4 linked regions of the Arabidopsis thaliana genome follow. The protein of the gene in region 1 purifies or fractionates together with the protein of each later gene. This does not show direct contact. Each region holds a gene or a part of one and is shown in the gene's direction. Other genes may lie near its edges.

Region 1 (6,528 bases):
AGTTGGAACTCGTGATAATGTTGTCGATACCACTAAATGGCAACTTCGTACATATGTAAAAAAAGTCAGGGTATTTGGGTGCTTTTCAAAAAGATGGAAGCATGACATGAGTGATGAGGCAGCTCCTACAAGTTGGAAAGAAGATATTTTGTCTTTACCTCCAAATTAAAAAATTGGCATTTTTAAATATCAAAAGGTGAAGAAGCCAATCAATTAGTATATTTATTTGTATTTTTTTTTTTTTTTCAATCTCTTTTACAAGTTTTAAGGAACTTAATGGCCAGCACTTTGATTTGATAGATACACACTAAATGAAAAAGTTGACCAGATGGCTCCGGTACTCGGAAACAAATTGCATGGAAATTTTACATAATTAGGTACACACATTTCAACATTTTGAAGAATATATTTGACTGTTTTGATTTTGCAGTTTCAATTGCTTTATGATTTCTACTCGGTTATTTATTGCTTTCCTAAATTTTATTCTGTGTATCTTACTTTATTATTTTTTAGAATTTAATATTTGTTGCTTCTATTCTCAATGAATATACTCAACAGATGAAATAATTAATAAATAATTCCAAACATTTGAACGTTAAATAATTAAATAGTCTTGACCATTTTAATATTTTTTCTAATTGTAACATTTTCTTTAGTATTACTAGGTTATGATTATCATTACACGTTTGGGTTAAATATGTTTTTGAACTTTTGGCGACAGGCGAGTCACTTGTTTTATAAACTTAACTTATACTAATCATTTAACAGGCTACATGTACTTTGCTATAGGTGAGTCATGTAACTGTTTAATTAGCTAGTGTGAATGTGTGATCGACGAAAAAAAAAAATTAGCTAGTGTGACCATATTACTTATACAACAACAAACTAAAAACTTGTCAAACTAAAAAAAGAAAGTAATATATCTGTTTGTAATTAGTCTAATCGTATTAAACTTTTCAGTTTTCACATAATAAAACAAAATTACAAAAATCTGATTATAAATGCATCACTTTTTGTGATTAACAATTTTTTACCCTAAAGCAATAGTAATTATTCTTAAATTTTACAATTCATCATCATTAACAAATCAAAGATAAAAAAATTTAAAATGCTCACTTTTCATTTCTTAAAAAAATTTAATCTAAATTGATAATCATTATCTACTCGGAAGAAAATAATCGAGATGACAACGGCTTGGTTCATGTGTGAGCCTCAACCACCCCCTCTTTCTCCGTATTTCCCTAACATGTCTTCACGAAAATTTTATAATGATTTATAGAAATAATTCTGTGTTGTCATATATTATTGGAATTTTCAATGCTGGAAAGTTGCAGCAGAACTTGGCGTTTTACAAACTTTGAACCAACCGAACAGGAATCTTCTTGTCATTACATGCAATGTTTATTTGATTCAACATTATTTAGATAACCGAACGAACAACTTTGGAGATACGTACCACGTTGCCACACCGCAAGATTCGACGTGTATCCTAATATTTTACTAATAAGAAAGATAAGATTCGCACAAAAGAGATCACAATTTCGTTGGAGCCCGTGATATCGTTGTCAGTATCATAAATGGTAATTCCGTACATACATGAGTTCTTATGGGTAATTTTGGTATTTTAGAAGTCAGAAAGAAGAGATTTTACCAAGTTTTTGACGTCTCTAAAAGTGCAATTTGGACCTTTGTATCTCTTTATCAATACCTAAATAAAGAATCTAGATGCAAAATTGTTCCGCATGTTCAAATTTGTGTAAGAACATAACATAACACTATTATATGCAAAGATAAAACAATACTCCATCTAGAAAGACTCACTCCAACTGTAATATTCATAATTCATTTATTGTTGCTACAGATTCTGAAGTTGAAAAGAAGTTGCGCAAAACAATAATGATACTAAAATGGCATAGTCAATATTAGTGGCTATAATTAATAACTATACGTTACCGTACAGCTAGAAACAAAACCGTAAGACTTTCACGACTTTGATTTTTCCTTGTTGATTTGACTTTTTGTTCGAATAAATATATTCAATGTATCATATGCTTCCAATATTCCAATGATTAATGTGAAAACAATTCCATTTTCACCTTCAAACTAAAAAAAAACTTGGCTGACCTATAGATTCTAAATAATTTTATTCTAGAGTCCGACTTCGTCATAGATTCTAACTATTTGATTGAAGATTTTTTTTTTTCGATTAGAACTGTTTCAAACTTTATTATATACAAGAACGAATCAAAGTATATCACTCTTTACTCTTTAGTGAAAAGGTGAAAAAATGGGAGAAGTTATTTAAATTTCTTCGGTGAATCATACATGTCCTCATAAAGATACTAAGGTACCAGAAAATGATCCCACATACATTAATTACTTTCAAAAAGTAACCACGAACGTCATTTACTTTGAAGCAACCCTACCTACCCATGAACTTAATAGTTTCATAGAATTAATCACGAGAAGACCACATATTTGGAGAGACATTATAAAAACATTACTTTTATTTGTAAACATGCTATCGAATATCTTAATCAAAAGATGGGATCCCTCTAAAGATATTGTGTGCTACTGCTCTATTAATCTTATTCGTCAATGTTTTTTTTCCCGGAAAATATTTAGGTTCGCCTTTTAGGGTGTGTAATTATAATATTTAGGTTCGCCTTAGGGTGTGCCGTTGACGGCTCAGTTTTCTCGGACTTCCGTTGAAAGGCTTCCATCGCTAGGTTTTTTGTTGATTCGGTCTTTGCCGTTTGGTAGCTCGTTTCTTGTTCCTTAAGGTGTCTTTTAAGTTAATATTTAGAATCGGTTTATCACTTCATTGATTCCAAAAGAGTAATTTCTTTTGTTGATGTCGATGGACTGATTGTTCTTTGCTTCCATGTTTTTTATCCTTTTTTTGCCATGAGACCAAAATTGTAGGATTTACTTAATTGTATCTCCTAAACCTTTTTCATTTTTCAATGAAATATTTACATTCTTAGCAGAAAAAAAAAAAAAAAATTTGTAACAAATGGAAAACTAGCTCATTGGCAAACAAAAAGAGTAAAACCAGCCCATATTAAATATGACTAACACAACCATGTACAAATTAACTCGTTGCCCTTTCCGTAAAAGTGAAACAAATAGATTTATCTTCGTGATTAACGAGAGAGAATAATCGCATCCATCAATCGTATTTTACGACTTTCGATTGTGATAGTTTAATTTATTTCAATGTATGCAGAAACATATCAACTACTGAATTATATATATTAATTAACCATTTTGTAGTCAGAATTAACTGGGATTAAATCACCCAATCCTAAATTTGATTTTGACCTAACTAATGAAAATTTAATAGTAAAAAACTATTACTTTGATTTTACATTTTAACTTTGATAGTTTTTTCTAATTTTTATTAACTAGAAACCTAATTTTTTTTCGTCAACTAGAAAACTATTCTATCTTGATATTATTTTATAATTTTACAGACAACAGAATTATATATAAATAATTTGAGTTTTTTTTTGTAGCTTTTAAAATTGCATTAATCAAATTTGTTTAATAGAGGATATAAACATGGTATTAATAAAAAAAAATTCTAAAAATTCCTCTAGTTCCACTTTTCAGCCAATTCCTCAACTGATGTATCTTAAAAAAAAAAAAAAAAATCCACAGATTCAGCTAAAAATCACTACGAAAAATGAACGATTAAAATTAACATGGGCCACATCAATTGGGCCTAAGAAGATAAAGATGGGCCACAACATTTAGGCCTAAAAGAAAATGACCTCAACATCAAAACTTCGACAGTCAGTCACTGTAACATTTTAGATCTTTCCCGAAGAAGAAAACGAAGAAGAGACGAAGAGAGAAATGAGGCCGATGCAGCTGGATATGTTATCGGAGATGGATGATGCAGGTTCTTCGATGGCCATGGACGTTGATGACCTCGAAGCCATGGAGATACTCAACGAAGGAGGACTTGTCTCAGATAACAAGCTCGCCGACGCCGATTTCTTCAACAAATTCGATGATGATTTCGATGACACCGATATCAACTAAATCCGGTTAAGTTTCCTCTTTAAGATTTCAGTTTTTTTTCCTAAACTTGATGTAATTTGTGGAGAAACCTATGTAGTAAGTGTGTAATAAGTTCTGGGATTTTTATGTTTGTGGTATGTAACAATGTTTTTCTTCATTTGGATTACTAAAACATTTGATTTGTGTGTTATTGTGCTTTGTCTGATTGTTTTTTTTGGCTCAAATTTAGAATGTTTTTTTTTTCCTTGGTTCTGGAGATGATGATGTTTTTTGGAGATTGAAACCTAATTTTCTTTAGTGTTTTGGTATTTTAGTAACTGAAAATTAGAGTCTTTGTATGTGAAGAATGTTGTGAATTTGTATGTGAAGAATGTGAAAGTTATTGATATTGGCTTAAGATAGAAACTAATTGATTCATTTGGTACCATATTCCATTGTGATTGCTTGTAATTTCAACATCTGAGGTCTCTGAAATATGTGTTGATGTGTTTCATTGTGTTGATATTCATGTGACTCACCGGGTCTAGAGAAACTTCCCGGTGAGAGATGAAATCCTCATGTAAGCTGTAACTTTCCACTAGTGATTAAGTGAACTAGGGAACTCATACTGAAGCACATATTCCTACCAACAATTTAATGGCCTAAGAGAAATAGTCTCTTGTATCTTCCATGTAACTCAGATACATCAGTCAATGATTTATATGGATATGGTATCTTGTTCCATGTTGATTTCTTGTAAATTCACCATCTCGTGGTCTCTGAATGTGTGTTGTATTGTGGTATGTGGGAGGGGGTGTATAATTCCTGTCTTGTGGTATGTAGGAGGGGGTGTATAATTCCCCTGGCCAAGTTCTGTTGTTGCATCGTGTCATATTATATTCTCTGGGCCGGTTTTGAGATGGAAATAATGTGCTTGATGTTCAACTATGGTAGAAAGGAAAAGGAGGCTAAGCATAAAGATGTCACTTGTCACTTTGTCAGTCCCTAGCAGTCTTTGTTACTTGCCTTATAGTCGTATGTATGTAGTGTAGCCAAATTTCATGAGATTTCAACATTCGATAGCAATTCATTAGATATCGGTAACCTCTTTTCAGAATCTCTTACTAATAAAAAAAAAGTTATTTGAGGCCTCTCACACTACCCACCTCAGCCTTTTAACAAATGTGTTCTCAAGTTGCCACGTCATCAACTCTCTCAAAAACTCCCAAATCTCTGCAAGCCACCATCCATGAGCCTCTTAACTTTCTTCTCCTCCCTACCTCAACCTTTATAAAATCTCCACATCTTGGTTTAATGACTAAACTCTAAAATTTTGAGTTATAAAAAAGAATGTTTGTTAAACTATGATATTAACGCTAAACATTTATTGAAAAAAAAGTTGGGTTTCGATTAATATTAAATATTTCCTATGTTTCTTAGCAAAAATAAATAAATATTTTCTCTGTTTTTTTTGTTTGATTGTTAGAAAAAAACACACAAAAGTAAATATATTAAAGTTGATTTTAAATATATTATATTTTGTGTTTTACAATTTTCTATCACTTTAAACCAATAAAATTTAATTATTTTTATTAAAGTTTACAATTCATTAATAAAAACTAATAAATATTACATAAAAATTTTAAAAAATCAATTTTTTTGAAACAATTTTTTTTTTCTTCAAAATCAACAAAATAGAACCGAAGGAATATGAATTACGCGGATTACAATTAAATTATCAATTCATCGATCACCTAATTTGAACGAGAAAAAACAAGTAAAAAAACGAAAAGTAAAATAGTAAAAAGTAAAAATACATTCTATTGGATTTGGTTCGGTATCAATAAATTATGATGTTCTTCACAAAATGCATTTATATGACGTGTTTGCTTCCTCTCCCTCCAGTTTCAAGTTGAGCATATCTGATTAGCAAAAGCGGTTGAAGGTCCTCTACTTCTCGGCCCACCGTAACAACATACACTGTCAATCCATATAGTTATCATAAACCCACACGTCAACGAAACCACTCTTTTGACTTCATCCTCTATCCAATCACACCACGCCACGTTAACACCACGACCTAGTGTTTCTGTGATCTCCACACAGAGAAAGAAGCGTTTCGGTTCTGTTTTCGCCCCAACACAAAGACTCCTTTTGTTTCTTTTCCTCAATTGGATCGAAAAAACCCCTAACTTTGACATGGAAGGAGAGATTCAAGACTGGGAAATACTTCAGAGCTCGAGATCTACCACGGAAGATGACAATTCGAGGAGCTTGGAGGAGATTGATGATGGCACGCAAGGTATGATTAGGTTTGATCATTTCTCTCTTGAGAACCAGAGTGGTTTGTCTCGTTTGGAGGCAAACGATGAAGATGGGTCTGTTCAATCGGGTAGTCCAGGATGGATCGAACCTAGCTCCGATGTTCCTTATGGTCCGAAGCATTTTAGTGAGTTATGGTCTGATTCAAGCAGTGATCGGCTTGATGATCAGAGGTTAGTGGATGATGATGTGAATAAC
Region 2 (7,761 bases), on another chromosome or scaffold:
TTGAATATTTAGTATATTTTGCTTCAGTTTAGGAAATCTTTGATGACCCGTCTTTAGATCCAATAAGCTCTATAATCTAGATATTAACCTGCAGTATACCGCATGTAGGCTTATATTTTAGTTAAACTAAAAACTTTTATTGTAAAGATGATTAAAAAATATATAATATTATTTTATTTGATTTTAAATGTATAGTAAACTGTGAGTTGTATACGTTTTGTTGATATTATCTATATTGTTTAGTGTTTAAGATTATATACTTGTAGTTTGATTGTTAATTTAAGAGTTTCACCTGTAGTATACTATCTTGTATTAATATCGATCTAAACCCGTCAATTCTAGGATTTTCCAGCTTGTATTAAAAATTGAATCACATCTAACATGTTATTAATTATTGTAGTATATATAAATTATAAATTTTCAATATAATATGTATGAAATTGAATATAAATATTTCAAATTATGACCCGTTACTCAGTAAAAAGTTTTCTTAAATCTATTTTTTACCCTTATAATATTTTTTCATGTATTGAACAGTTTATATTTGTTTTTAAAAATTCAAATTATGGCATATGCAAAAAAACTCTAATTATTTTTTTATAATGATGATATTATTTTTCCGCAAAAATAGAATCATATAACGATGAGAAGTGAACTATAATAATTAATAAAAAATTAATATGATAATTTAGATATCAAACATAATTTGTTGATTTTAACTGGTTACTTTTTGGAAATTAATAATGTATTTTGTTTTTCTAATTAAATTAAATTAATTAAAATTTAGATATCAAATCTTATATGTTGATTTTGATTGGTTATTATTTTTGGAAATTAATAATATATTTCATTTTTTAATTAAATTTAATTAATTAAATTAGTATTTGACTTTTTAATCCTTAAAGAGATAAATTAATTTACTCTTTAAAATTTTATTTCTAATGGCATACCTATGTAATTACTTACAAAAATTAAGGTTACATTTAAAATGTACTTCCCAAATAATATAGTAGGATATAAATTATAATCTACTGATCATAACGCTTAGTTTATAGTACTTATTTGTATTAGACTTTCATTGTACATGGGAAATAAAATCTTAAAACAATCTCTAAACCGTTAAACTCTAGACCAACAACGAACCCAAAAGGCCAAATGCATTTATATGAACAAGTTTGATTACTAGTTCCACCAAATTTCTACAATAAGTTTCCTTGAGATATTCCATAGTAATTTGAAGTTGATTTTTAATTGACATTTGTTGCATTATAAATGAGTAAGATACGCCATATAATTGTTGAAAGACCTAAAGCGAGTTTGAGATCATTAAGATAAAGAGGTAGTCATAAATCGTTTATCGTCAAGGTCGACGAAAAAAAGAAGTAAAGTGGTCATATTCGATTTCTGATAGGTATGTAAGAGAGAGATTAAATGCTTTCTAAAATTTTATACATGATTTGGACCTCTTATCTAATATCATTCACTCAATTTATGGACGAGAACATAACAAAAATTTAAATACTTATCGAAGAAGGAAGAAAAAATATTTAGCAACTTGGCTTTAAAGGTTATTCCACTTGTCACTATTCAAAGATTCGAGTTTTGAGCCTTTGAGTAATACCTTGGTCACCCTTATATTGCAACCACGTGGTATAAAGATTGTAACGCTTTAATTCCAATGACCCCTTATTTTGTGGACTTTTGTCATCAATTGTACCAAGTTTATAAAGATATAGAAACTGAGGGCGTATGAATTGTTTCAAGCTAGACATCAACAAAAAAAATGTTATCCACTTTCTCAAATCTATATATACTAAAGGATGTGTATTTAATCTAGTAGTTTAAATTATTTGTGTAAAATTTACAAACTTTATGTTATTTAATTATAGATTTTAAAAACTTTAATGAAATCCAATGTTATTAAACTAATAATTTAAAAATTAACTTTAAAATCAATTGTTATTGAAAACAGTTTGTGGAGTTGATTCTTATTCATCTTGAAAGATTTGAGAAAACTTCTTTAGTTACAAATACACAAATTCAAATCTCATGGTTTTAGATAGAATTTGAAAAGATTTCTATAATTTTAAGAAAGTTGATGTGATTAATTGTACAATCTTTTCAAATTCCATCTACAATCATGAGATTTGTTTTCAATAACAGTTGATTTAAAAGTAAATTTTAAAATCGTTAGTTCAATAACACTTGATTTTAATAGAGTTTTTAAAATCCATGATTGATAAATTTTACACAAATCACTTAAAATACTAGATTGAATACACTTCTACAAAATCATCAAAATCATATAACTACTTACCCTCCCCCTCCCACCCCCCTCTAAATTAACCGTCATTTTAACAAAAACTGCATGTAACAAAACTTTCAAATTTTACCGAATGTGACAAAACTTTCAAAACTGCATGTAACAAAACTTTCAAATTTTACCGAATGTGACAAAACTTTCAAATGGGACAACACTTTCAAAAACAGCAACATTTACCACATGTCACAAAACTTTCAAATTTTACTTTTATACTTTCACGTAATCTAATTCTATTACCACTTTGTTAGCAACCACTCCTTCCCCATGATCTCAAAATGTATCCTCTCCTCTAAACTTTCTTCCACTTTTTTTTTTATAAGTAATTGTAACAGTCAAACAGATGCATTAACTTCTTCTTTATTGCTCTTCTTTCTCACAAACTCAGAAGATCTTCCATTTTTTTTTTCAAAATCCAACTAAAGGCAATTATGTTTTATTTTGCCAAAATATTTTGATATATGATGTAATTTGGCATTTATTTTGTATCAGCATAGCAGGGGCGGCCATAATCTTAGTATATGCATATAATTGAGGCTGCTCTTAAATTTTAGCGTATTTATATTGTAGTGAATTCTTTGTCTTGTATAATATTTTGGATGTAGGACCTGAATGTTGGTACATGAAGACAATCTAATATTTTTAAAGCAGTTATCATTAAGCATTTAAGCAAGTAATGAAACACAACAACACGGTAGAAATTTAAGCAAGCACTTTGATGATCTCTCTCCTTAACTCAAAACATCTTTATAGTATTGTTGTGTTTCATTATTTGTTCTATGTTAATTGCTTTACAAATATTACACTGTGTCCTTGTACAAATATTTAGGTCTAATGCTAAAACTAATTTTTCTTTTGATTCGCAACACTCAAAATAAAAAACTGATCGAAAGCTAACCTTATGTTATACTCTCTGAGTTCTGACACAAACAAGAGAAGAAAAGAGAGGAAAGTGATTTAGATGCTTTGATCGATGATAGAATGAGAAGACAAAAGCTTGACTTTATAGCTAAAGATCAACGTCTATGCCATAAAGTCAAGCATAATTCACACAATATATAAGTTGAACATGCTATCAAAATAAGCTTACTACATTGGTGAAATTATGCATGTGTGGATATCTCAAGAAATATGCATGAGATGCATTACTCTTCTTTTACGCTTTGTGATTTAAGATATTGTATGCCAAATCTATGTGTTGCCAACATTGATTTCTATACCAATTGGTTGATACAATGACTGGAATTTATCCTTTGATTTGCCAACATTGATTTCTATAAAAGTTAAACAAACTAAAAATAAAAAGGGAAAAATATTTAATAAAAAATGTACAATATTAAATTTCCATAAAAATTTTATATGGTTAATGTTTTGGATTAGCATTAGTCCCCAAATCCCATATTAAGTAAATCCATTTTGAGTTTTGTTCTCGCAAACCGGTTTAACCCAAGAACCCAAAGATCTCTCTCTATTTGTTTGCCTTCTTCTTTCTTTCTGACTCAAACCCTCAAATCAATTCTCGCGATTAAGCAAAACCCTAGATTTATTCTACTCTTCGAAGTCGATTTCAATGGAAGGTTCCTCGTCAGCCATCGCGAGGAAGACATGGGAGCTAGAGAACAACATTCTCCCAGTGGAACCAACCGATTCAGCCTCCGACAGTATATTCCACTACGACGACGCTTCACAAGCCAAAATCCAGCAGGAGAAGCCATGGGCCTCCGATCCTAACTACTTCAAGCGCGTTCACATCTCAGCCCTTGCTCTTCTCAAGATGGTGGTTCACGCTCGCTCCGGTGGCACAATCGAGATCATGGGTCTTATGCAGGGTAAAACCGAGGGTGATACAATCATCGTTATGGATGCTTTTGCTTTGCCTGTTGAAGGTACTGAGACTAGGGTTAATGCTCAGTCTGATGCCTATGAGTATATGGTTGAATACTCTCAGACCAGCAAGCTGGTAAGATATCTCTTATTCATCTCTCGCTGTAGCTCCTTGTTTAATTAGCTAGTTGCTACTTGGATCCTTTATGCAAGATTTTGCGAGTGTTTGATTGATTGGTTATGACTGTAACTTTGAACTATAGGCTGGGAGGTTGGAGAACGTTGTTGGATGGTATCACTCTCACCCTGGGTATGGATGTTGGCTCTCGGGTATTGATGTTTCGACACAGATGCTTAACCAACAGTATCAGGAGCCATTCTTAGCTGTTGTTATTGATCCAACAAGGACTGTTTCGGCTGGTAAGGTTGAGATTGGGGCATTCAGAACATATCCAGAGGGACATAAGATCTCGGATGATCATGTTTCTGAGTATCAGACTATCCCTCTTAACAAGATTGAGGACTTTGGTGTACATTGCAAACAGGTATGTATAATTCTTATTTATCGATTTTAAAACTTGGGAGGGTTTTAATCATCGATCTTATGATTCATTTTTTTTGTATGTGGCAGTACTACTCATTGGACATCACTTATTTCAAGTCATCTCTCGATAGTCACCTTCTGGATCTCCTTTGGAACAAGTACTGGGTGAACACTCTTTCTTCTTCCCCACTGTTGGGCAATGGAGACTATGTTGCCGGGCAAATATCAGACTTGGGTAAATTCTTGTATATATGAAAGAGCAAGTTAATTTACTTTTCATCCAGGTCGTAGTTTGATATATCCTCTTTTCTTACCATTTAATTGTTTACATGATGAAGCTGAGAAGCTCGAGCAAGCGGAGAGTCAGCTCGCTAACTCCCGGTATGGAGGAATTGCGCCAGCCGGTCACCAAAGGAGGAAAGAGGTTTGTCTAAATGGTTGCTTTAGCAAAATTATTTGTTATGTTCTCAATGTTTATTGACTGTCTGAGATACTGGACCATGATCTTGAGCTCATACACTTGCCACTTTTCAAGCTTGTTCCTGTGTAGAAACTTTTCATTTGGCTAATTAACTGCTACTATCAACATCTAGCAACTTGGATTAAATTTGAACTTTTTATTCTTAGGCATTATGTTGACTGGATATTGACTAATAGAAACTCTACCTGCAAAACACTATGTTTTACCTTTTCTGGGTTTGAAATTTCACAATTGAGTGTATGTTTAGTCAAAAATATACAGAGCTATTAAAGTTTGAACTAGTAAAACAGGGAGACTTTGATGTATCAATTTGTCAACGAGTTGTTGCCAATAGTCTATGTCTGCTTCCTAGAGTTCTGTTATCTCTGGCTGTGTGACTCATTTTGATATTGTTTTAATCTTCTTTACATAAAAACATTTGTTTTGGAGATTACATTACCTAAGTATATGTGTTGTGGACCACTTTCAGGATGAGCCTCAACTCGCGAAGATAACTCGGGATAGTGCAAAGATAACTGTCGAGCAGGTCCATGGACTAATGTCACAGGTGAGTAAATACAATCTGACAATGCTGATCCTATTTCCCCTTGCGGTTAATGGATCCATGAAATTGACTTAAAAAGTCTTTCATCCATCAATGTGCAGGTTATCAAAGACATCTTGTTCAATTCCGCTCGTCAGTCCAAGAAGTCTGCTGACGACTCATCAGATCCAGAGCCCATGATTACATCGTGAAGTTGGTCTATTCTTTTGTTTTTTGGCTGCGGAAATTGACTATCGGTTTGACCCGGTTTATGAGGCAATGCCCATTGTTCCCTATATCTCTAGTGTAGTATCTGCTTCAGACAAAGATCTTTGGGTTATTAAATGACATTAACATAAATCGATCATTATGTTTTTGCGTTTGACTATCTTGATTTAGTGGTATTAAAAACCAAATTCCAGATACACACGTGATGTCACAGTAATCATGTGCCTGTTACGGAACCATGTGCAAAAAATTGACACAAGCATACAAATGTTCTCCAACGATTGAAGCAACAATGATTCTAGGCCCTCTTTTCTTTCTGTTCTTCATCACATGAAATTCATCAGGATGTTGTTTTTCACATTTATGTTTGAACAGCATTTCTTTTGTTAAAAGCGAACAAATTCTATTCTAAAACCGAAATTGTCATTACAACAAGACCACGATTTAAGGGTACTAAAAGCGGATTAAGATTTCTGCATTCGAACAAACTGACTACTAAACGAACATCAGGCCGAGAAAACAGTCGGTAGGAAGAGATAACGTGTGAAGTTACTTGAGTAGGATTAAGAGTAAGGTAGTAGTAATTGATAGAAGCTGCGTGGGGCTTAATCAATAATGACATCCTCACTTAACCAGCATTACTGGAAAACAAGAATAAGAAACCACATGATGATGTCAAAGACTTTTTGGGCCTTCGCGTATCCCTAAATGGGCCTATTTACGGCCTAATACTTGTCTAATGTATAGTTGGGTAGAACAAGAAGGTCCGAGAGTTCGAAGCTTAAGCCATTCTATCTTTTCTGGGGATCTAGAAGATCCAAATGATCAAAGAAGATATTATGAAAATTTATTCTGGAGATTAGTTTTGATATATTGTGATTTGTTTCACTACTTTTGTTCTTTTAGCATTTTCTCGAAATGCATTTGGATTTTAGATATTCTCTAGTCCATGTTTCAAGCTTCTTGGTTAACACAAGCTTAGGTTGTTAATTTGCACAGACACAACTGTTACTCTGCCCTGAACAAGGATCTTATCTCTACTCCTCTACTCCATCTATATCATCATGCTTGACACCAGGAAATATATGATATAAGACATTTTTAAAATGATACAATTGAGGAAGGCATGAAGCAGTGTTTGGGGGTAGTGTCTTAGACTCGATTTTCATCAACCTCAATGGTTTGATGGGAGCAGCAGATTGTATGTAATTAAGCTTTCATTAAGGGAGTTTCTTTCCACTAGTGTTTTCTTACAAGATAATGAGAGGACAGACTTGAGAGGTGACATGGATGGGCTACAACATGTTTTCTCGCAAGATGTTGACTCTAGCACACAACCACGTCTTAATGTTTTCAGCCCTAGAAGGTGTCAAACTGGACTGAGAAGCATACATTGGGAAACATGAGAACATGAGGAGATGTGAGTACAGTGTTCAGTATGAATATTTCCAGTATCCTTATGAACATACTAGATTCAAAAACTGAAAAGCATGAAGTTGTATGTGTTGCATAGTATATTCTAGGAGGTTATGAGATGTTACTCCCCAAAGTTTTTAACCACTAGTAACAGTAAACAGAGACATTTGAGTAATGCATTTTTATTTAAGAAACATAATCTGAGACTTGAGGACTTAAGTGACTAAGTCTTTAAGAATTAAGATACTAAACATGTTGATGCAACAAAAAGGCTTGCAGGGTTTTGTGCTGATCATTTTGCTTAATTATGCAATCGTTTTTTCAGTCTTTCAAACAGAAAATTGTTTTGGTGCTTGATTTTTTTTTTACATTATCCTAACAGACATTTTCTTTGTCTTGTTGATTAGCCATCCTTAGGCTAAAAC
Region 3 (8,077 bases), on another chromosome or scaffold:
CAAATGGAGTTACTCCTTGGAATTGGAGAGAGACTCCTGGAAACGGCAAGTCCTCAGAAAAAGCTTATATAAACTTAAGCCTCAAAGTTTAATTTTCTATAAGGCTAAAGATATGTTTTTTGAACTGTATGTTTATGTTCCAAGCATGGTGTAATATGTGTAAGAATCCACGTTTTCTCATTTTGAGGTTGCTTCACAGCCTCTGCTCCTCTGCTTGATTTATTCGTTCGGTCTCTTTATAACTGAGTAGAGCTTTTCATTTGTTTCATGTTTATACAAGCAGGTGATGATAGTCATGGTCAGCCTTTTGGTGGTAGGGTCATAACAGTGAAATTTGGTGACTATACAAGAAGAATCGGTGTTGATGGTAGTGCAGAAGCAATCAAAGAGGTAATCAGATCTGCTTTTGGGTTAAGAACTCGAAGGGCTTTTTGGTTAGAAGATGAAGATCAGATTATTCGCTGTCTTGACCGAGACATGCCCTTAGGGAACTATCTACTCCGTCTGGATGATGGTAAGATTAAATTTGCCACTATTCGTATCTTTTGAACTGTGTGTGTGTTTTTTACTGAATTGTCAGTATGCAAAACCCATCTTGCAGGACTGGCCATTAGGGTTTGCCATTATGATGAATCCAACCAATTACCAGTCCATTCAGAAGAGAAAATCTTCTACACTGAAGAAGACTACCGCGAGTTTCTGGCTCGACAGGGATGGTCAAGCCTGCAAGTTGATGGTTTTAGGAACATAGAAAACATGGATGATCTTCAACCTGGTGCTGTGTATCGAGGTGTGAGATGAGGAAATGAGATCACAAAACTTCTTCTCCAATTCTATCAACAGTTATCTGATCAGAAAACAGTCCCCTGTAGATATGATCTCATTCTCTTTATACATTTCTTCTTTTTTTCATGTACTTGCTCAAATATGAAATATCATAACTGGCATTTACCGTACAGACCAAGAAGACCTCAAAATAGATTTTTGGTCTGTTACATTTGTAAGAACAGAACATAAGAGAAGTGAATAAATTGTTCACAATCAGACGAGCGAGTGTTTGTGTGTGGTATCAGAGTCATTCTTCATCCCTTTTATTGTTCTTGTATGAAATGAGTGTGTTCGACCTTGTCAATCTGCAAAGCCAGAGAAACTTTCTGAACTTATACTACTGAGAAAACACTATAATGATTTGATTAACAAACACTAGTATCAAAGAATGTAATTCAACCACTCTCTTGATCCAGGTGAACGGTACAGCCACATCGGTATCAGTAAATGCTCCCAACACAACAAACACACCTTATCCAACCGCCAAGCCGATTAATGTCTCTCTCTCTTACATGTTTCATGGAGACAAGGCAAGCAAGTTATGCTGGAAGCAACTTGTCTCATTATAGCTTGAATCTCCCTCGTGATCTCCTTATTACTTTTCTCCTTTGAGACAGCGTGAAAAGGAGGAAGACAGAATCAAGACAGCATAAACATCACAAACATACAAATGAAACTGAGTTAATTGAAATGTTTATGCATAAATAAACCAACTTCTAGATCTTAAATATCACGTAAGTGGAATAACATTGGTTATAAGCAGATCATCAGGATAAGATTCCAATAGTTAAAGTTTTGCGTCAATAATTGTTTTTGTCGAGAAGGTTTGCATCAATTATTGCATCTTTCTTTCTATCTTTTTTTTTCTTTCTCTTAGAATCGAATTTTAACATATACTTTGATAATGATATATTGTGGTTCTTTTCACTTCACGATTACTTTAGAACATTGTGAATAATGACACTTCAAAATAAAAGGGATAAGATCAGAAATAACATATGAAAATTCCACAAAATCACTACAAATAATTCAGATAATGAAAAAAATACATGTACGTTATGTTATAAAATTCTCAAATATGGTTTTCAGCAAAAATAAATTTGGTTTTTTACTACAAAGTACAAACCAAAGTAAATTGATTTTACAAAGAAAAACGAATTAGAAAATCGTTTTTAAATCATAGAACTTATTCAGTCGAAGAGAATGGCTGACACTTGACGGGTCAGTTATAACTTATAAGTGGACTCTTGGAAATGATCATGAGTTATAGAAAGATCACAAACTTCAATTTATGATATATTGTTGACCTCAGATAATATTTTAGCTATTTATTGGATGTATAAAGATCCATATGAATACCAAAAGAAGGAGTTTTATAACCATTCACCTAACAAAAATGAAATGGAAAAAGAAAAGAGAGCAAATAAGAGGAGGAGAAGAAGAAGACTTTTGGCAAAAGCCAAGAGTCATACCTATTAGTCTATTACATAAGGTGTGATGTTTTTTTTTGCTGTCACATTCCATCTGACCTACCAAAGCTCTCAAAGTGGAGCATCTATTGTGTCTTGGTATAGAGTCACGATTAGATAAATATACAACACCATATGTACTTGTGTCAAATTATAAATATTTGAAACAGTAAGCAACCAGTAATTCGATAAAGACGTCTACAAGCATCTACACATCTAAATTGATTAAAACAAAACACCTTTAAATATAGTGTTTATGAAGTCAAATCTTCACCTTGATTATTCTAAAACAATGGTTGGAGTAATGTTGCTGAATGTTGAGTGAGAATTGACATTTGAGAGTAACTTTCACTATAATGAACTGGATGATAAAGTTGATCCGATAATAATTGAATTTACCATGAATGGTATCACAAGATACATGTATAGAAGACAGTGGTGTTACTTGTTACGCAAAATTAAAAAATGAGCATACTATTGCAGTTACTTTGGATTTATTAAGGAAAATTATGGTTTGACAACAACAATAATACAAAATCTTATGAAAATTAAATAAAAAGAAAAACAAATTTGGCTATTGGCAAAGCTCATTGGCTGTCAAAAGGAATATATACAAAATCTGCTACGTTGCAGTCTTGCGTGCACCGGCCCAGCCCATAGGATTAGAGTATTAAACCTCGAATATTCCATCAGCCTGCGCGTGAATCCAAGCGCCATTAGTTTCCCCAAATCAGTTCTTAATCCTACCCATAAACGATGGGTAAAAATGGTAAATAAGAAAGAAAGTAAAGTACAATATAGTAATATTAATTAGTGAATCTAATCTATTAGCCTTTTTCCCAAGAAAAAATCTCAGCCACTCGATCATATTTTCAATTTTCATCATCACGTTCTTCTTCTCTTTTAAATAACCCTAAATCCTCACCAAACCCAAACCCTCACTCACTATTTTCACATTCTCTTCTCTCTCGATATCATCTAAATCTCTCTCGATCTCAATTTCGCAAAATGGGTAAGCTTCTCGCTCTTGTTGATCTGCGATTCTTCGATTTATTGTTCTTTCGTTGATACTTTTTGAATCTGATCGTAATTTTGGTTTGTGTAGCTGACAAGAAGATCAGAATCGGAATCAACGGTGAGTGTTTTTCTTATCGAATTCCATAAGTTTTTTGGTTAGGTTTAAGTGATTTGGATCTGTAGAAGCTGAGTTTTGAATCTTCGTGAAGGTTTCGGAAGAATCGGTCGTTTGGTTGCTAGAGTTGTTCTTCAGAGGGATGATGTTGAGCTCGTCGCTGTTAACGATCCTTTCATCACCACCGAGTACATGGTTCGTTTCTTCTTCTCTTCGATACTAGTTCGTATCTGGATTTGAGTTAATAGTTTTATCTGAATTTTTGTTAATATACATGATGGTGTGTGCTGTTTATCATATAGATCTGAGAACTTGCTTTGTTGTATTCTTCTTCTATGTTGATTCTCTGTAAATTCGTTTTGACTGATTGTGTATATGGTATCGATTTGTTGCAGACATACATGTTTAAGTATGACAGTGTTCACGGTCAGTGGAAGCACCATGAGCTTAAGGTGAAGGATGACAAAACTCTTCTCTTCGGTGAGAAGCCAGTCACTGTTTTCGGCATCAGGTACATAATCATGGATGATTTTATTATAGTGGTTCTCTGTTATGTTATTGAGAGTTGTGAAATTCTGATTTGTGGTGTTTTATTTTTGAAGGAACCCTGAGGACATCCCATGGGGTGAGGCTGGAGCTGACTTTGTTGTTGAGTCTACTGGTGTCTTCACTGACAAAGACAAGGCTGCTGCTCACTTGAAGGTTTGAACTTGGATCTTTTATATAATAGTCGAGAACTTGTTTATTTAAGATCTATATCATCATCATATTGTTTCATTGTTATTCAGGGTGGTGCTAAAAAGGTTGTCATCTCTGCCCCAAGCAAAGATGCGCCCATGTTCGTTGTTGGTGTCAACGAGCACGAGTACAAGTCTGACCTTGACATTGTTTCCAACGCTAGTTGCACCACTAACTGCCTTGCTCCTCTTGCCAAGGTATCTTTTTCTGTTTCAACCCATAAACTTGTGTAAATTGTTCTGAATTCTGAATTTTAAGTTGAATCATTTCTCTTACAGTTGCAATCTATTTGTGCAGGTTATTAATGACAGGTTTGGCATTGTTGAGGGACTCATGACCACTGTCCACTCTATCACTGGTACGTATTTATATTTGGTTTCATTGGGTTGATTCTTGAAAATATGTATATTTGACTCAATAGTAACTGTTGTTTTGGTGATCAGCTACTCAGAAGACAGTTGATGGTCCATCAATGAAGGACTGGAGAGGTGGAAGAGCTGCTTCCTTCAACATTATTCCTAGCAGCACTGGTGCCGCCAAGGTATCATTTCAGCCTCTTATTTGTTTTAATTGATTTTGATTGAGAAATTATGTTGAATCTGATTTTTGTATCATGGTTGTTGATAGGCTGTTGGGAAAGTGTTGCCATCCCTCAATGGAAAATTGACCGGAATGTCTTTCCGTGTTCCAACCGTTGATGTCTCAGTTGTTGATCTCACCGTTAGACTTGAGAAAGCTGCAACATACGACGAAATCAAGAAGGCCATCAAGTGAGAACCATCAAGGACCCTCAGTCCTAACCATATCATATTAGAATTTATTGGGTACTTACAAAAGATTTTGGTTAAAACTTTTCAGGGAGGAATCTGAAGGCAAAATGAAGGGAATTTTGGGATACACTGAGGATGATGTTGTGTCTACCGACTTTGTTGGTGACAACAGGTATAAAAAATATTGTCTGTAGAGTGATATACAGTTTTCTGATCTTATAAATGGCGAGAGCAAATAATTGAAATATTGGGTTTGTGTTTATAGGTCAAGCATTTTCGATGCCAAGGCTGGGATTGCATTGAGCGACAAGTTTGTGAAGTTGGTGTCATGGTACGACAACGAATGGGGTTACAGTTCTCGTGTCGTTGACCTTATCGTTCACATGTCAAAGGCCTAAGCTTACACCGGCGAGAGTTTGTGTGTGGTTGAGTTCGTACTGTTCTGAATAAAAAAAAGGAGAAAAGAAAACTCGAGTTGTTATGTTTTTTCACTGATTCCATGCGCAGTCATGAGAGTTTGTAGCTTTTGTCTTTTTGCTTTCTCTTAATGTTTCCCTGCTTTATTTACTGAAACCATTGGTTTGGTTTTTTATGTTAATTAAGTTTTTAGTTCATTACTTTCTCGTGCTAACTCAAACCCAACTGGCAACTGGAACATTGAACGTCCTCTTCTCGTATTTTTAATAGTCTATTTGTACTTGAGCTTCTCCACCAAAATGGTTCTTCCTAGTCATATAGCTCACATTAGGTCAATCATCTTCGATTGAAAGCAAAAGTTACTGAGACGGATTTATTGGTTGATAAGCATCGCCACATTGTTTTTTAACGAATCAGCCAAGTTTGTTGAAACGGAGGATCAAAAATTGGAATTTAGTATTTCCTTGCAATTGCGAAGATCCAATTTTTTGGTTGACATCATTGTAAAATGATTGATATTATAATTTTATTTGCATGCTAACTTTTAAAGTTAATAGGAAACTCGTATTTTCAATAGTGACATGTTATTGCATGTGATAATACGATTATTTTATTACTTTATTAGTCGTAAATGAAGAGTAACATGCCACTATTGAAATGGTACTCATGAGATCACACGCTAGTTATTAAAGGAACATAGAAGTAAAGAAGGTTTTTATTGCAACATCAAAGAGAACAAAAACCACACATCAGTTGTAATGATACATCAAAGTTATATATATGACAATGTAACTTTTATTATTAAATAACGCATTCAAGAACACTTTTTCTGCAGTTCTTCACAAAGCACACGCATAATTCTAGAATTTCAAACCGGAACCTTTGAGTTTCTCCTCGACGATCATATCGATTTTATTTACCATTTCAGAGGTCATATAACTCTTCCAGTCACCAACTTGTCCTTTACGGAAATAAGTCTTGTAATCTACTCCACCCAAGGATCCAGTTTTGTTGATCTCCAAACTGCTTAAATTACTTAGAGAGCAAAGTTCCAAGATCTTGTCTACAGTTCCGCTATCTTCCTCTTCCTTAGTGAATGGACAATCCAAGAACTCTGCAAGTCTCTTGACCTGAGTACGAGGCTCCGCTTTCAACTCCTCGTACCTCATGAAAAGAAAATGCTTAGGATCTTCCAAGCTGCCTCGCCAATAGCTCTGTGCATGGTCCCAAAAGGGACCGTGTAGGGTAACTCCGTTGCAGAATGACTCAAATATAGCCTTGAAAGAATAATTCTCCGCTCGAATGATCTTTTCATTTTGGCTAAAATCTCCCCATTCTACTCCCTTGTTGGCATTGAGGAAACACCAAAGTGACACCAACACGTCTTTCACGTTCCTGCACACGTACACTACCTTGCAAGGAGACTTCTTCAAGGGTAGTTTAAGCGCGTCCAAGGACATATGAGTTGAGAACAATCTCGGAGATGATGATGATGATGATGATGATAAGAACTTGGTCAAGTCCGGTTTTGAGCTGTTGAGATACAGATCTAGCTCGAGGTACGGTACTATCTCATGAGGGTTATGAGATAGCAGAGGATGATGATGATCTTCTAACGAGTGTTTTGATCGTTGAACGAGTGCAAATGTGAGTGCTTTGAGCCAAGTCGTGCCCGATTTGTAGAAAGAAGCAACAACTATATCGGTTTCTTGTGGCTGAAAACTCGAGTGTATATTGGGGATTGATTGGAGAACGTCTTCGTAGTACCAATATCCTTGGTACTTGAAAAGCTTGTTCCCAAGGTAATCTATCTCCCAAGGAAGTGAAGAGATCAAAATTTTGGTTTCTTCGCTTTGATTTTCTTCTTCTTCTTCTTCTTCTTCCCTCAAGTTCCTTAGAATATCTTTCTCATCCATTTTTTTTGGTTCTTGTTTTGTTAAGTGAACATTTTAGTTGATTTTAAAGTGCTAAACTTAAATGCAGCATTTTACTAATATAAAATTACGCTCCATTATTGACCTTATATACATAGAACAAAATAATGTTATAATCTTCGACTTTTTTCTAACAAATATTAACCAATCATGTCACTAAGAAATTAAAAAATACTAGTATATAGGAATCTAGTCCATTGTATATATCGTAAACATGGACACTTCACCAACGAACATGCATGGGGTCTTTTTATAAGGTTCTTTATACCGAAACCATTGTTTTGGTTTTTATGATAATTGAGTTAGTTTTGTGGCTTTTCCGTTCAACTAAAAGTCTCATTATGTCAACTGCTATTAAACCGGCGCACATGGCATGTTTTATGAAATTAAGGTCAATTGGACTCCAACTTTTCAATTATTAAAAAAAAAGAAAAATGATTGTTGTATGCCTTGGCGAAGAAGAAAAGCCGCTAGCTTTATTCATTATCAAACGAAACAAAAACAACAACACATCACTAAGAATCTTAAACTCTTAACCTTACATCAAAGTAACTTTTATTACATTGCATACAAGAAAAGAACAAACCAGCATTATTAGGTTTGAGATTAAACCTGTTCCCACACATATACATAGAGATATGAACTCTACAATTTCAAACCAGAGCCTTGAAGTTTCTCCTCAACAATCATGTCGATTTTGTTTTCCATTTCAGGAGTCATATAACTCTTCCAATCACCAACTTCCCCTTTACGGAAAAAACTCTTGAAACTTACTCCTTCCGACAAGCT
Region 4 (8,061 bases), on another chromosome or scaffold:
TCGGCTGCAATGCTAGCGGCCATGAATGGCCACGTTGAAGCATTTAGAGTCTTAGTCTACGCAGGCGCAGACGTGAAGCTGTATAACAACTCTGGCGACACGGTAGTCTCTCTGTCTGAACAGAACGGTAACCGTGACGTGATAGAGAAGGTGATGCTCGAGTTTGCTCTCGAGAAGGACAGCAGAAACATGGCAGGCGGGTTTTATGCTTTACACTGTGCTGCACGGCGTGGAGACGTCAAAGCAGTGAAGCTTTTGAGTGGAAAAGGATACAGTCTAGACATCCCGGATGGAGATGGCTACACTCCGCTCATGCTTGCAGCCAGAGAGGGCCATGGACATATGTGTGAATACCTAATCTCCTGTGGCGCAAACTGCAATGCTAAGAACGGAAGAGGGGAAAAGCTGCTGGATCTCGCGACTGGTGATGCGGAGAAGGTGATCCGTAATGAGTTGTCTCGGAGGTTTGTGATAGAAGGAAGCAGTGTGATGAAACACACCAAGGGAGGGAAAGGAAAGAAGCATGGGAAAGGATTGAGAATGTTGGAATCAAGTGGAGTACTAAGTTGGGGAAAGTCACGGAAGAGGACTGTGGTGTGCAAGGAAGTAGAGATCGGGATGAGCCAGCGGTTCAGGAAGAACCGTAAGGGGAAAGGCGATGGAGCGGAGGAGGAAGGGATTTTCCGGGTAGTGACTACGGAAAACAAGGAGGTTCATTTTGTGTGTGAAGGTGGGTTGGTGTGTGCAGAGATGTGGGTGAGGGGAATACGACTTGTGACCAGAGAGACAATTTGTGGAAGAACTCAGACTCAGAATTAGTGTTGTTTATGTATGTATATAAAGAAGTTTTGAGAAAGGGAGCTTCATTTTGAAGGTAGTGTGCTTCTATTGTGTTGGGGATGTTTATAGTTCTTGGGTTTGGTATCTGCAGTATATTTGTGAACTGTGAAGTAGTTCGAGTTGCACATGAATGAAAACTAAAACATCTCAGTTGATTTGAGATTCTCCAAATTTGATTATTACTTTGTCCAAAACAAAGACTATTCTAAACTTACATGGATTCACAGGCTTAGATCCAGCACTAAAATTCGGCATGTGATACCTGGATATCAAAAAACAACATGAAGTTCCTGTCTCTTTCAAAAGAACAAAAGTTACAAAATGTTTAAAAAACATTACATCACACAAGAAGTCAGCACTTTTGTTTACCAGTCACCAACTCAACAAGCAATAACCAACAGAGATAAACAGAGAAGCTTTGAAGTTCTAATCACTATTGTAACCACCATCATCGTTATCCTTATCTTCGTGGTCCTTCACCACTCGTTCTATGAACTGTCTTCGAACTCCAGCCATCACAGCTTCCCTCGAGGAGTCATCGTCTCCTCCTTTGCCATCGTTAAGAACTGGCTCTGATTGACACAGAAGTAAGGCTACACCTGAAAAACCAAATCAGTTGCAAGTATGTTAGACATGTGCCTAAGACCAATCTGCTCAAAGCATGATACAATCGCCAATGTGGTCACATCAGGTCTCAGATCAGACAAAGGCTAGAGATGAGACATGACATAATCATCAAACACAAATAAGCACAGATTACATCAGACAAACAAGGGTTCATTCAAACTTACTCTCTGGGGTGCACCTACGGCCAAAGCTCTTTAAGCCTACATGAGTTCCTTTGATGGCGCCATGGTGGTACACCAGCAAGGTAGGAAGATTGCAATCAGGGTAGTTCGGAATACAATCAGTAGATATTATCTTAACGAACTTTGTTGCTGGGTATCTACTACCCAATTCGTCTAGACAACCCAATAGCAAACTACATTCTGCAACACTATCAGAGAACAACAAGAAATAAACATGAGTTAATAGTGTTTCAAGCATGTAGTAAAGAATGGCTCAACAAGAGTTCACGAATACTTGAAAAAACATACCCATCTTTATAGAGACATACAACAACCCAATCTTCAGCAGAAGCTTGCGTAACCTCCCTCACGAAATCAGAGCCCGAGATGGGAGTCACTGTTCCATATCTTTTAACTTTAGCAGCCTCTCTTAGCTCAGACAACCTCTTCTTCCTATGAAAGCATCAAAACACATTAGTGCCTGTGAATCATGAAGTGTGTTGCACAATTATGTTTAGCCTATTCATCAACATCTCAAATAAGATACTACCCTCAATTGCATTCATATCCAAAACACAAACGAATCGAGAAAAACCAGAGCTTGATAATTGCATTCCCTAGCTACATGGCAACAGATCCGAGAAAATTGAATTCACAATCCACCAAGGCAAGGATTCTCCAGGGAAAGTTAAGATTGTAAATACAAAAATCAGAATGTTCGATTCGATCTACGAACCTGTATTCTTCGAGAAAGCGATCATCGTCGAGATCTTTGTCGTCCTCAAGATCCTCAAGCTCCTCCTCTGTCTTCTTATCAAACCATGCCTGATCCTTAGGAGCTGAAGACTCGTCTTCCGCCGGAGTATACGCCGGAGGTTTGAAAGCCGGAGCCTTCTCCGGTAGATTCCCCAATTTCCGCTGGATATCATCCCATTGAGTTGACGCTCCTTCAATGTCCTTATACACGAAATGATAATCCGCCATCAAAGTATAACCACCTACGAAGCTTCAAAGAGAACCTTTGAATCTGAGAGGAGAAAAAGCAGATTGCTTTGACACTCTGTGATCGCAATCTCGTTCTTTCTCTGGAAAGACGAATGATAAAAGGCCATCCCCGAAATTGGTCTGGCTAAACCGACAATTACCATCTGGTACATTTCGAACCGGGAATATTTGGTTTAAAAGCCGGTTAGATATTGGTTTATTATTCTAGAGTAATGTATTAGACTCTTAACCGTTCGGAGGGTTCGTATATATATTATGAGAGCATGTATTTTTATGGAGAAGATCCAGAGATAATTAAACAAACAGTTTAGCAAAAGATTTTGAGAGGGAGAAAAAGGGCGATCGATTAGGGTTTTTGTGTTTTCGTCTTAGTATCGAAGATGATCGGAGCTGTGAACTCGGTGGAGGCTGTGATAACGTCAATCCAAGGTTTATCGGGGAGTCCAGAGGATTTATCTGCACTTCACGATCTTTTGAGAGGAGCTCAAGACTCGCTCCGAGCCGAACCAGGTGTTAATTTCTCTACTCTTGACCAGCTCGACGCCTCGAAGCACTCTCTCGGTTACCTGTATTTCCTGTGAGTTTTAACCTATTGGTAGATTAGGTTTTTGTTACTAGTTTGTGTATACTTTGAGGCTGATTGATGATTTTGGTTATTGGAACTTGATGTGTGTGATTAGGTCGAAGTTTAACAAGGAGAATTGTCTATGTTATTCGATTTCTGATCTTTGAGTTTTTTGTATGGTTTGATTGTTACAGTGAGGTTCTTACCTGTGGTCCAGTGTCGAAGGAGAAAGCTGCTTATGAGATACCGATAATTGCACGGTTCATCAATTCTTGTGATGCTGGGCAGATTCGTTTGGCGAGCTATAAATGTAATTTACTGACACTTAATGAGAGCTTATCTTGTCTTAATGTGTTTTCTTTTCTTTTTTCTTTGGGGAGATGGATGATGTTATTATATTGATTTTGCAGTTGTATCTCTTTGTAAGATATTGAAAGACCATGTTATAGCACTGGGAGATCCGTTGCGAGGAGTAGGGCCACTGTTAAACGCTGTTCAGAAGCTTCAGGTCTCCTCCAAGCGTTTGACTGCATTGCATCCAGATGTTCTTCAACTCTGTTTGCAGGCGAAATCGTACAAATCTGGTTTCTCCATTCTTAGTGATGATATCGTGGAGATTGACCAGCCAAGAGACTTTTTTCTCTATAGCTATTATGGGTAAGCAATTTTTCCTCATTGCTATCTGTTTTTTTCCTTTGATCAATAGATGTGTAAACACATTAAATCCATCCCTGTTGGGTTTGTTTTATAGTATTTTCTTATTCTGGTCCTTGATTACCTGGACTTTTGATAGGGGAATGATTTGTATTGGACTGAAGAGATTTCAGAAAGCATTAGAGCTTCTTTACAATGTAAGGCATTTTTATTTTTTCTTACGTGCTTTTTATACATTAAGGACTTTCGTTTTAGTTTTAACTCAACCTAAGTACTTGTATCAGGTTGTGACTGCTCCTATGCATCAAGTCAATGCCATAGCTCTTGAGGCGTACAAAAAGTACATATTGGTGTCTCTCATTCACAATGGGCAGGTAAGGCTGTGTTCTTTATATTTTACTTTCTTTGTTTATCTAGTTTTCGGTCATGGGAGCATATTGCACGAGTCTGAATCAACTGTATGTTTTTGAGAAATGTTGGTTTCACAATTACATCCTGTGTCTGATTTTAATTTCAAGCATTGGTTAATCTTATGATGTTTTTCTTATAATCTTGTTTGATTTTACTTGTGCAGTTTACTAACACTCTCCCCAAGTGTGCTTCTACAGCAGCACAGAGGAGCTTCAAGAACTATACCGGAGTAAGTTTGAACCCGATCATTAGTTGTATTTTTCATGTTTGAATGGAGTCTGGTCCCTTTTTCACTTCAGTCCAAAGATTTCAGTTGTTTTGTACTCCATACCAGCTAAATCTATTTTCAGGCTTATGATTTTATCGTTCACCCTTTTCTCAGCCTTACATTGAACTGGGTAATTGTTACAACGACGGGAAGATTGGTGAACTAGAGGCATTGGTTGTGGCCAGGAATGCAGAATTTGAAGAGGTAAATTGCCTCTAAACATTTACCATAGTTTCTGTACCAATATTAAATATTCATCCCCTTCCATAACTTGGGCGAAATGCTCTTTCAGGATAAGAACCTTGGATTAGTTAAGCAAGCAGTGTCATCCCTTTACAAGCGTAACATTCTGAGATTGACACAGAAGTACTTGACCCTGTCGCTTCAAGATATAGCCAACATGGTCCAACTTGGTAATGCTAAGGAGGCGGAAATGCATGTGCTTCAGATGGTATTGTGTCCCACACTTGATTTTTGGAAGCTAGCTTTATTAGTTTAACTGGTATGTTGGACAATATCATTTTTTTCTTTACAAACCTGCAGATCCAGGATGGTCAGATACATGCCCTTATCAACCAGAAAGACGGGATGGTCAGATTCTTGGAGGACCCTGAGCAGTACAAATCTAGTGAGATGATTGAGATCATGGATTCTGTTATACAAAGGTATGTCTACAGAACTAAGTGTTTTGATATGGTTTTTTTTTGGGAAACATTGCTTGAATGTTGAAACTCGTAATAAGGAGTGCATAATTAGCACTTGGAATCAAGTTGATATGGAGATGACTGTTTTGCCAAAGGAAAGTAGTAGCATCAAACAAGTTATGTGTTTTGATAAAAATTTCAGGACTATTGGTCTGTCGAAGAATCTCTTAGCCATGGATGAGAGCTTATCATGTGACCCTTTATACTTGGGAAAGGTAATTTAATACCATATTCCATTAGTCTTCTGTCCTGGAAACCCATGTTTCTCTGACTAAGCCGTTTGACTACTTTTTTTCAGGTAGGAAGGGAAAGACAAAGGTACGACTTTGGAGACGATTTCGATACTGTTCCTCAGAAGTTCTCCATGTAAACAGCGAAAGTCGAGAAGCACCAACAAAACTTGGCTCAAAGACAACCGTAGTGTGAATCTTGAGAATGTTACTTTTGATTTCTTTGTTCATTTTTGTTGGTTTAAAAAGTTTCATATTTTTGTCACAATTGCCAACAAGTAGAGAAGACCATTATGGACCCTCAAATCTTTTATTTCCCTTTTACTTAAAAAATTTTCCCCTTGCGCGTGTATCTCTCGTGCTAACTTACGCGAGCGTTTTATCATTTGCAAGGGTTAGAGAAGTCTCAACGGCGTCGTATCAAACTCGTTTTTAACTGCGTGTCGTTTGGGGAATCTGATAGACTCCTTGTTGTGGTGGGCTAGTTTCAGGCCCATTCTCGCTAAGCGCCACGTAGATTTTTATTTCTTTACTCATTTTTTATGTCGCATCTTCCCCATTTCGTTTTCAACCTGATTTCTCCATTTCCCTCTCTTATCCTCAATGAAAAAAATAATCTGAGAAAACGCAAAAGAAGAACGGAGCAAAATCCTCAGAATCGTCGCCGGAGAATCTTTACGTTTCGACATAATCGGAATTTTGGAATTGATAATTCCGATGGAAGGGGTTATCACATGTTTCCATACGAAATGCGTCTCTCTTCCAATTCGTTCTTTCCCACTTTCTAGGGTTTCTTCACTTCCTCGGTGGAGGAACAATAAATTGATCTCTTCATCGCGATCGGTTCATCTAAGAAGCTTGTGCGTTTCGAGCTCAGATACTTTAGTCGCGAGCGGTTCACCAAAGGAAGACGAGAGGCAGAGCAAAGTATCGAGCAAGAAGGAAGGAGATGACTCCGAGGATTTGAAGTTTTGGATGGATAAGAATGGGTTGCCACCTTGCAAGGTTATTCTCAAGGAGAGACCAGCTCATGATCAGAAGCATAAACCTATACATTATGTTGCTGCTAGTGAGGATCTTCAGGTGGTTGACTTAGCATTTCAACAGTTTTATTTGCTTATACACAGTTCCATAGGGTATTCCAAGTATCAATTTCCGGGTTTTGATGGTAAATTTTTCCTAATTACCTGTCTTTTACAGAAGGGTGATGTGGCGTTTTCAGTTCCTGATTCTCTGGTGGTTACTCTGGAAAGAGTTTTGGGAAACGAGACTATTGGTATGAGACATTCTCTATTATGTTTCCTATTCCATAAAGCTACTTCATCAGTTATGCACTATAATATTTGGATTAGACTTTGTGATTTCTCTTAGATAAGGGTGGGATTACGGGTGTTTTGATTCTTGTCTGAAGCCATATAAACTCTCTTTATCACACAGCTGAACTGTTGACGACGAACAAATTATCCGAACTGGCTTGTCTAGCTTTGTATTTGATGTATGAGAAGAAACAAGGAAAGAAATCAGTATGGTATCCCTATATAAGAGAACTTGATCGTCAAAGAGGAAGAGGTCAGTTAGATGCGGAATCCCCTTTGCTGTGGTCAGAGGCTGAGTTAGATTACCTAACTGGTAGTCCTACCAAGGTATTGCGTTAGTATATGCCGGACGTGTGATGAACTAGTATAGTGGGTTCTTAGTGGTTAACTTCTTTAACATGGTTCAGGCCGAAGTTCTTGAGAGGGCTGAAGGGATCAAAAGAGAATACAATGAGCTTGACACTGTCTGGTTCATGGCTGGATCTTTGTTTCAGGTGTTTGGCTACCTACGATTTCGGCTTCTTCTTGTCATTTTAATATATGGAATGCTAAACATCGGCCTCGGACTTACACCATTTTATTTGTGTTTTGCAGCAATACCCATTTGACATACCAACTGAAGCTTTTTCATTTGAGATTTTCAAACAGGCATTTGTTGCCATTCAGTCATGTGTGGTGCATTTACAAGTAATTTTCATTCTTTTGGGGTTTACTTTTCACAACTTGAATGTCTTTCTGTATTTGAAAGAATAGTTAGAGTAAAATATAATAATATGGTCTTACCTCTATTACTCTATCGCTGAATCTAAAGTTTAGCTTGCAGCTCATCATTTAAGCAAGTAGTCAGGTGGTGCTTGTTGCTTCTTCTAATTTAGATTGTTATGCTTCTTCTTGTACTCAGAATGTCGGTTTGGCTCGTCGGTTTGCTTTGGTTCCTCTTGGTCCTCCCTTGTTGGCCTATTGTTCCAACTGCAAGGCAATGCTTACTGCTGTTGATGGTGCTGTTGAACTCGTGGTAGATAGGCCATATAAGGCCGGGGATCCTATAGTTGTCTGGTGCGTCTGTAAGCCAAATTGCTTCCTACAGCTAGCTTTTTCATTCTGATCTATTTTTCATACTTTTGCATTTCCTCCTTTATTTGAAGGTGTGGGCCACAACCAAATGCGAAATTGCTTCTGAACTATGGATTTGTTGATGAGGATAACCCTTATGATAGAGTAATAGTTGAGGTAATTACAAAACTTTGTTGCGTTACTGTAAACACTAGTGTAGTGTTCAT

What was found.
Region 2: the proteins of SMAP1 (region 1) and CSN5A purify together in Arabidopsis thaliana (affinity purification with mass spectrometry, with the first as the bait; one study listed by BioGRID). This does not show direct contact.
Region 3: the proteins of SMAP1 (region 1) and GAPC2 purify together in Arabidopsis thaliana (affinity purification with mass spectrometry, with the first as the bait; one study listed by BioGRID). This does not show direct contact.
Region 4: the proteins of SMAP1 (region 1) and COP13 purify together in Arabidopsis thaliana (affinity purification with mass spectrometry, with the first as the bait; one study listed by BioGRID). This does not show direct contact.

Annotation. Positions count from the first base shown.
Region 1 is NC_003075.7:7,860,601-7,867,128, forward strand, and holds SMAP1 (small acidic protein 1), read left to right. Parts: upstream 1-3,793; 5' UTR 3,794-3,861; coding exon 3,862-4,050; 3' UTR 4,051-4,055; exon of another isoform or gene 4,056-4,324; intron 4,325-4,851; 3' UTR 4,852-5,109; downstream 5,110-6,528. Other genes in the region: AT4G13530 (uncharacterized protein), read left to right, coding at 6,208-6,528. UniProt on the Arabidopsis thaliana protein: Mediates responses to the synthetic auxin 2,4-dichlorophenoxyacetic acid (2,4-D). Not involved in the response to indole-3-acetic acid (IAA).
Region 2 is NC_003070.9:8,108,025-8,115,785, reverse strand, and holds CSN5A (COP9 signalosome 5A), read left to right. Parts: upstream 1-3,724; 5' UTR 3,725-3,890; coding exon 3,891-4,280; intron 4,281-4,407; coding exon 4,408-4,689; intron 4,690-4,775; coding exon 4,776-4,923; intron 4,924-5,026; coding exon 5,027-5,112; intron 5,113-5,638; coding exon 5,639-5,716; coding exon of another isoform or gene 5,717-5,788; exon of another isoform or gene 5,789-5,814; coding exon 5,815-5,904; 3' UTR 5,905-6,212; downstream 6,213-7,761. UniProt on the Arabidopsis thaliana protein: Probable protease subunit of the COP9 signalosome complex (CSN), a complex involved in various cellular and developmental processes such as photomorphogenesis and auxin and jasmonate responses.
Region 3 is NC_003070.9:4,605,723-4,613,799, reverse strand, and holds GAPC2 (glyceraldehyde-3-phosphate dehydrogenase C2), read left to right. Parts: upstream 1-2,921; 5' UTR 2,922-3,305; coding exon 3,306-3,309; intron 3,310-3,402; coding exon 3,403-3,432; intron 3,433-3,523; coding exon 3,524-3,624; intron 3,625-3,824; coding exon 3,825-3,940; intron 3,941-4,031; coding exon 4,032-4,131; intron 4,132-4,217; coding exon 4,218-4,364; intron 4,365-4,464; coding exon 4,465-4,525; intron 4,526-4,610; coding exon 4,611-4,708; intron 4,709-4,794; coding exon 4,795-4,937; intron 4,938-5,025; coding exon 5,026-5,109; intron 5,110-5,202; coding exon 5,203-5,335; 3' UTR 5,336-5,723; downstream 5,724-8,077. Other genes in the region: GT-1 (Homeodomain-like superfamily protein), read left to right, coding at 1-45, 284-514, 602-801; ST4C (sulfotransferase 4C), read right to left, coding at 6,215-7,270; ST4B (sulfotransferase 4B), read right to left, coding at 7,934-8,077. UniProt on the Arabidopsis thaliana protein: Key enzyme in glycolysis that catalyzes the first step of the pathway by converting D-glyceraldehyde 3-phosphate (G3P) into 3-phospho-D-glyceroyl phosphate. Essential for the maintenance of cellular ATP levels and carbohydrate metabolism. Binds DNA in vitro.
Region 4 is NC_003076.8:4,594,957-4,603,017, forward strand, and holds COP13 (Proteasome component (PCI) domain protein), read left to right. Parts: upstream 1-2,911; 5' UTR 2,912-3,013; coding exon 3,014-3,210; intron 3,211-3,392; coding exon 3,393-3,508; intron 3,509-3,608; coding exon 3,609-3,855; intron 3,856-3,991; coding exon 3,992-4,049; intron 4,050-4,136; coding exon 4,137-4,226; intron 4,227-4,426; coding exon 4,427-4,492; intron 4,493-4,645; coding exon 4,646-4,735; intron 4,736-4,823; coding exon 4,824-4,982; coding exon of another isoform or gene 4,983-5,030; exon of another isoform or gene 5,031-5,074; coding exon 5,075-5,196; intron 5,197-5,377; coding exon 5,378-5,450; intron 5,451-5,533; coding exon 5,534-5,605; 3' UTR 5,606-5,879; downstream 5,880-8,061. Other genes in the region: AT5G14230 (ankyrin), read left to right, coding at 1-819; AT5G14240 (Thioredoxin superfamily protein), read right to left, coding at 1,267-1,439, 1,632-1,837, 1,938-2,081, 2,365-2,612; AT5G14260 (Rubisco methyltransferase family protein), read left to right, coding at 6,183-6,548, 6,666-6,741, 6,903-7,108, 7,189-7,275, 7,376-7,468, 7,683-7,837, 7,927-8,011. UniProt on the Arabidopsis thaliana protein: Component of the COP9 signalosome complex (CSN), a complex involved in various cellular and developmental processes such as photomorphogenesis and auxin and jasmonate responses.